Linked DNA regions of Caenorhabditis elegans. The protein of the gene in region 2 interacts with the protein of the main gene of each other region in a pairwise test. Each region holds a gene or a part of one and is shown on either strand. Other genes may lie near its edges.

Region 1 (3,753 bases), on a different chromosome or scaffold from region 2:
TTTCTTCCTCAGGGTCCGGCCATTTTTCATCAAGTGTCGGAAGTAGGTCGGCTACTGAGTATTCTGCTTCTTCCGCTATGCTTTTACTCGTTGATTCCATCATTTTTGATAAGGAAATCTGAAAAATGGTGTTCTGGTCTGCTAGACTACAAACTACAAACTATAAACTATAAATTGTAAAATATATACAAAAAATTTAAATTTGGCAGATCAAATCATTTTGAAACTGGCAAATATTGGTCTGACGGACTACAAACTATAAACTACAAACTACAAACTACAAACTACAAGTTATAAACTACAAACTATAAACTACAAACTACAAACTAGAAACTACAAACTACAAACTACAAACTACAAACTACAAACTACAACTATAAATCTCTGACTTCAAAATAGCAGATCTAGCCAAACAAAACTATTAACCTACATATGACAGACTCAATCAATTTTAAACTTGCAAATTTTGGCCTGATGGACTATACACTACAGACTACAAACTACAAACTACAAACTACGAATTATAAACTACAAACCATAAACTACAAACTATAAATTACCAACTTCGAAATAACAGATCTAACCACACAAAACTATGAACCTGCAAATGGCAGACTCAATCAATTTTAAACTAAAAAACATTGGTCTGACGGACTACAAACTATAAACTACAAACTACAAAAACTACAAAGACTACAAACTACATCTTCACCACCACCTCCTCATCCAGCTCACCTCAAAGCTTGTTTTGCTCGGCTTAATTCTGTTATTTTTCATCGCTGCCGCCGCTGCAACGTCATCAGAGTTACGGGGAACTGCGTAAGCGGATTTCGATTTAATAATACTCCGAAGACACGGATGAACCAGAAATTCGGCGTCAGAATCCTCTTCTGAATCGTCATCACCTCCAGAGGAATTGTCGTTGTGCAGCCAGTCGGCTGAGTAGGACTGGAAAAAAATTCAGGAAATTTGGAGGTTTTAGAGGCTTCTTTTTGGTTTTTCGATATGAAAATCGAGTTCCCGACATTTTTTACCCTGGAAACTTTTTTTTTTCGAGCTTCTAGCTCATTTTTGAAATTTTTTGGGTTACTGTAGCTCCAGAAGTACGCAAACACTGCACCTTACGACAAAATGCAGAATGCTTTGAAATTGACTTAAAATGGTGTTTGAGGGGTAAAAAATTGTGTTGAAAATGAAATTCGGTGTGAAAAATTCCAAAAATGAGTTGCGTTTTTTTGCCGAGAAAATTTTTTACTGGAAAATTTGTAGAAATTTGAAATTTTTCACAATTTTTATTAAGAAATTCGGATTCTCCGTAATTTTTCACCCTTAATAAGTTTTTCTCTAAACTTCTGGCTCAATTTTAAGTTTTTTGGAATTACTGTAGCCTCAAAAGTACGCAAACACAAATCGATGCACCATACCTTACGACAAAATGCACAGAAAATTAAAATTGGCTGAAAAAGCTGGGAATGGGGTAGAAAGTGGCGCTGAATTTGAATTTTGATATGAAAATTTTTAAAAGTTGCTGGTTTTCGAGAAAAATTTCGAGTTTTGAAAAAAAAAAAATTTTTAATTTTTTTGTTGCTTTTTGCAAAAAAACCGGTTTAGGAGCAAAAAAACGCTGCTGAATTTGATTTTTATAGTTAAAACCTTTAAAAATCAACGGTTTTCCTGAAAAAACCTACCCTCCGAATAACCGTCGGACACTCGTCATCATCCTCGTCCTCCGTGTTCTCCTCAATCGGAAAATCATCGCATTTTCGACATTCAAATGCGCTCATTTTGTGCTGAAATTTTTAAGACTTAAAATTTCAAGTAGTGGAAAAGAAGTTTTGGAGCAAAAAAAAAAAAAGAAAAAAGGAAAAATAAAAGTGAATCTCTGTTCCAGACATGCGCGCTGGAAAAAATGATGAATGGAGTGGATGAGAGAGTGAAGAGAGTGCAGAGAAAATTGCGTTGAAAAACAACTCAAAAAAGGGGATCATGGAAAAAATATTCAGAAAATTTTCAAAACTTTTGTTCTTGAAAAATTCCAAAAAAAAATTTTTTTTCACCGAAATTCCAAAAATAATTTTTTTTTCCAAAATTTAACTTCTCAACAATTTTTTCGTCAAATTTTACAGCCGAAGCCTTTTTTACCGAGTTTCTAGATCAATTTTCGAGTATTGCGGGGGTACTGTAGGTTCAAAAGTACGCGAACACCGGACCTTGCGACAAAATGCACAGAAACTCAAAATTGCCGGAAAAGACGTGGTAGGGGTAAAATCAAGACCTGAATTTGAATTTTTAGATGAAAAATTGAGAAAGTGAAAAATGAAAAATAAAGAAAATAAGTTTGGAAAAAAAATTTTCTAAAATTTTTTTTTCCCGAAATTCCAAAAAAACTTTTTTAAATCAAAATTGAAGTTCCCTACGAATTTTTTGTCAAATTTTCCAGCCAAAGTCTTGTTTCCGAGTCTCTAGCTCAATTTTTAAGTCTTGCGGGGTACGGTAACACAGAATCTCAAAAATGTCGGAAACAGGTGTGGTATGGATAAAATAAGGTGCTGAGTTTGAATTTTAACATGAAAATCAGGAAAAATCTTGATAAAATAAAGATTTTCGAGAAAAAAACATTTTGCCAAAAACTCAACTTTTCGGGGGTACGGTAACCCCAAAAGTACGCAAACACCGGACCTTACGACAGAATGCACAGAAACCGAAAGTTGTCGGAAAAGGATGGATTAGGGGTAAAATTAGGTGCTGAGTTCGAATTTTAGCATGAAAAATTGATGAAAATTGAATAAATAAAGATTTTCGGGAAAAATTGCTAAAAAAAATTTTTTTTTGCGATGTTTTTTTCTGGCTTATAATTTTCACCAATGTTATTGGCTATATCATATCACGAGTTTTGACATGTTATCTCAATTTCCTCCCCCCCCTTTCTTCACTCCATTTCCCTCATCGAGAGAGCACACACATTTTCCAATAAATTCCGCGCATTTCCTGCTCTCTGAGGGTAGCGTCTTCTTCACACTAATCTCCCGACGAGATAGTATGTGAAAGTGAGAGACGCAGAGAAAATGAGAGCAAAAAAAAGATGTAGTAATGAGTGGGAATAGATTAAGGGGTACCCCCTGAAAGAGGGGGGGGGGGGGGGGTGGGGAGGTGCAGGTTTTTTTCGAAAAACCAAAAAAATTTCTCAAAATCCAACGATTTTCATAATTTTTCACATTGAAATTCGATCTCAGCACCTCATTTCACCCCTAGAACACTTTTTTCAGAGGATTTTGAGATTCTGTGCATTTTCGCGTAAGGTGTGCGGTGTTTGCGGACTTTTGGGGCTACAGTACCCCCCAAAAGACAAATTTGAGCAGGAAACATAAGAAAAATGTTAGAAATTTAATATATAGCCCTATAATTTATTTCCAGGCGAATATATCTTCCGAAAAAGAAATTTTGAAAGAAAAAACTAAAAAAATTGAATTTTCAATGTTTTCAGGTATTTTTTGATAATTTTAACTGTCAAATTCAAGTTCAGCGCCTCATTTCACCCCTGGGACTGTTTTTTCCGATGATTTTGAGATTCTGTGCATTTTCGCGTGAGAGACTCGGTGTTTGCGTACTTTTGGCGCTACAGTAACCCAAAAACGTCAAAATTGTGCAGAAAACGCGGGAAAAATTGTTCAAATTCTCGAAAAACGGGAAATTTGGAAAAACAATTGCAATTTTTTTCGGAAATTTTCAAATTTGAGCAAGAAGCTTAGGTCT
Region 2 (3,753 bases):
CTAAATCCCTTTTTCTGACTGAAATCGACCACTTCCTATTTGGTCAAATTGTAGATTTGGTGAATTCATCAGTGAAGCTGATAGATCACAACATGTTTATCGTCGGACTTGCCGGACAGCAGAGACTAACAAGCGAGAGAAGCAAAACGAGTGAAAAAAGAAAGTGGAGAGAGAGCATAAACACATAGTTTATCTGTATTTCAGAATGTCTCCACAATTCGCCTGCTCTTTCGTCTCTTCATTCCCCTTTGAATATTTTTCTTCTTCTAGCTTCACCAGGTCTCACCAATTTGTCACGTCCAGATCCGCCTACACGGTGCGATGGATAAGTGTTGCAAGAAGGGACACGACAAACTGACATACAGGATGAAGCCCTTAGCACACGTTTTATTTTACCGCTGTTTGGTTTCCAAATTGGAAATGTGAAAATGGGAGTGGAAAGAGGAGAAGAGAAAGGAAATGAAAAGTAGAAGCAGAAATGGTTAGTGACAAGCGCCGCGGCATGCACTATGCTCATGACAGTCATGAGATAGACTACGCAGTTGATCTTTTTTTTGGTGGGAATTTTTTTCAGTATTAAAAATAAAAGTTTTATATTGTGAATTTTGTTGAAACAGCGGCATTATTTTACAAAAGTACGTACGGTCGAGTGTTCAGTCAAGGCCGGTGACCTCTTCACAGGTTTACTGAGAAGCGTAAACACGAACCACATGTTGCAACATACACCAGTCAGATTTTTTGTATTTTTCCAACATCTTTCGTATCGTCCGTTACAGCTTTCCGTTTTTGCGGGTTTTCTAATGGGTGTCAGTTTTCAACCGCACAGGCTCACTATCTTGTGTCTATTCCCTCTCTATCCGCTCATTGATTTTTTTGGTGATTACGGCGCACGGCAACTGTGTACAATTTACCTGCTCGCCTGTTTTCGCCAACTGTCATCGTCATGTTTTCTTCATCTACCGCGCCAAAACTCCCCCTCCTCTCTTCTTGTCGGTTTTCTTTTCGTTTTGTTACTGACAGATCTTGTGAAATCTAGAAATGAAATATTATGAGTTTTTTTGTAAAGCAATTTCTTCGCCCAGATGTTTTACGCTGTTGAGTATAGTTTCTTATTAGTTATATTAAATTAAGTTTGAGAGTGTAATAATGTGTTTGTGAGACAAGCTGAAACATGAAAATTGAATCAAGTAATTTTATTAAACGGATTTAGTTTTGATAGCTAGCTTCAAATACAAAAATGAAACCCGTTTGCAAAAATCTAGTTCTGTATCCATGTTCATTTGTAGGAAATATCCCGAATAATGAATAGTTTTGTGCCGTATCCGGCTGGCACAGTGTGCTCGGCGGAAAAGGCTTGAGCTCTGGTGCTGCTTCTCCTCGACCAACACATTCACTCGCTCCACACTCCCATTCCGACTAGGAAACGAGCTAGCTGTAGACAGACCGCCAAGTGACGAGTGACCGCATGAATCAGAGAGAGCTTCAAGACTCGTCTCGGGATACTGAGTAGGCACCCCATAGCAAGCCAGAACGTTATGCAAAATAGGGCGGAGCCTCCACGTCCCCTGCCTGTCTTTCGTTTTCTATCGTCCACATCGTCGTCGTGGAGCGCCTTCCCTGTTTGGAAAAGAAGACGTGGTCACCCTTCTATTCACTGTAGAGCTCCGTGCCCTCCACGTCCACGAGTTGAGCTCTCTCCGGCTCCGGCGTTTTCTGTCGCTCCACCCCTTAGGAATAGCTCGGAGCCCCACCCCTCTCTCTGTGCGCCCGTCCTGTCCGATCGGTCGGCACTCTCCTCCCCCCTCCGTCCGTCCTTTTCATCGTCTCCTTCTACCAGGAGCACGTTTTACCTTTTCCTGGCACCCATCTATTTTGTGGACAGGGTCCCTCTCTTCACTCCAATCATACTCACTAAATCGTTATTCACAAAACATCAACGTTGGCACAGGTTGAAGAAAAGCTGACGTTAAAGAAAACAGAGTCGTTGACCATCCTGGATGTCTGTGTGCGTATCACCGCTAGTACAAGCAACGATTCTGATGACAGAAGAGAGTCTGACATGTCCTCAGTGTCCGAAGTCATTTTCAAGTACAAAACTCTTGCAACAACATCAGCAAATGTTTCATACCGATAAAGTGAGTCACAGTTTTGCATCATTTTTATGTGTTTTTATTGTCTTATTTGTCGCTATCTGATCCAATAGGCCAAATTCGCTCATTTTCTATTTTTGTGCGCTAACTTTTCGATTATGAAAATCTCGCATCAGATAGGCAGCGCACTTTGATGAATATAAGTACAATTCTAGAACATCAAGTTAGAGTAGTTTTCCCAGTAGCGAGAGTCATATTATAATTGTATTAGAAGATCAGAGAGTATTTTGTTCCATAAACCATATCTGTCGTATTCCATTCGATTGTGTATTCCATTCGATTGTGCAACACAAAAGTTTATGAGCCTATACGATACTGCACAACAGTTGCCCACCCATACCGTATTTCGCCCAGTAGAGAGGCCAGGCGGTATGTTTCGTTAGCGATTGGACAGTTCTACAGTTACACTGCAGCAGTTGGCGCGCATAGTTCGCTTTGGTAGATAAGATATTATCATAAGAATCTAACAAATGCACTCTGTAGTACCGTCTTTCAGTGTTTTATTGAGTTTTATACTCTTTTTTGACCTTAAGTTTTAAATATTTGATTTATACTTTCAAATATTCATTGCATCCACGGTTTATCTGACAAGATTAGAATTTTAAGTATGTTATTATGTAGACTGGTAGCTCATTTAGTTTTGATCCTACTATCAGAAAGTGCACCAGATTAATCACTTGTGTGAACTGCACAGAAAAAGGAAATAGTTAGGACGTAGACCTTGACAACGGAAACCACACCTTTGCTCATGCTCGATCTCGCTTTCTAATCTTATTCAGCTGCTTTGCCACAAGAATGTACTTTTGAAGAACCCCTTGATTGAACTAAGACATCAGAAGCCGGTATGAGATATAATGAGATATTTTTAATTACGATACATTTTACCAAAACAATAAAATCTTAAGAATATTACATAGATACATATAAGCAAGACACTAAGCTTTTTAGATTTTTCTGTAGTGGTTCTGTTGACATTCGATCATAGAGTAGTGGTGTGCACCGCTAACTGCTTCCAGAATTGGCGGGACCTAGTTGTTTACGAGGTGTGTGCTCATTTTCCTCTCCTACATACTTGCCTGTTTTCTCTCATCGAAAATAAGACGACCAGCGCAGCAAGGCACCTGACCTCTGGACCAGCGGGGTTTTCCGGTTCACTCTTTTTCCTGATCTTTGCGAAAATGTCATCTCATCCATTTACTGTACAACATCGCATCTTCCGATATATAATCTGATCGCAGTCGCATTTTCATTTTCACCCAGATGGTTCAATGGTAGTTTTGTGTTTTGTGGGAGAAAGATAGGGGCCAGATGCTTTGGTGAATCGCATCGTTTTCCGTCCGTCTCGCCCACATTGCTTACTATTTTGCCATCGGAAACTTTGTCCCTCGCTCCTCCTCCGGCATCTTGTCGCGCTGCTCTGTCATCTACTTGTTCCTTTTTGTCGGTGCACGGGGTATTTTCCGCTCTAGCGATATATTCCGCCTAGTTTTTTTCCAGTTGAACTATCTTGTCTTTTTCGCCGCTTACTCTTTCTCACGTTCCATTTCCATTTTCAGTCTGTACTCCTCTCATTGAAGTCAACCGATGCACCAGTGGGAATGGA

Evidence for each region. Proteins that work in one complex are often made in the same cells at the same time.
Region 1: the proteins of syd-9 (region 2) and jip-1 interact in a two-hybrid assay, tested with the Caenorhabditis elegans proteins (one large-scale study listed by BioGRID).

The regions. Positions count from the first base shown.
Region 1 is NC_003280.10:1,325,032-1,328,784, reverse strand, and holds the start of jip-1 (PID domain-containing protein), read right to left. Parts: upstream 1,791-3,753; 5' UTR 1,785-1,790; coding exon 1,689-1,784; intron 949-1,688; coding exon 736-948; intron 119-735; coding exon 1-118.
Region 2 is NC_003284.9:7,216,471-7,220,223, forward strand, and holds the start of syd-9 (Zinc finger protein syd-9), read left to right. Parts: upstream 1-1,799; 5' UTR 1,800-1,997; coding exon 1,998-2,135; intron 2,136-3,706; coding exon 3,707-3,753. UniProt on the Caenorhabditis elegans protein: Plays a role in regulating synaptic function, probably by modulation of endocytosis. May be dispensable in muscle for normal locomotion. May be involved in post-transcriptional mRNA processing, in parallel with unc-75.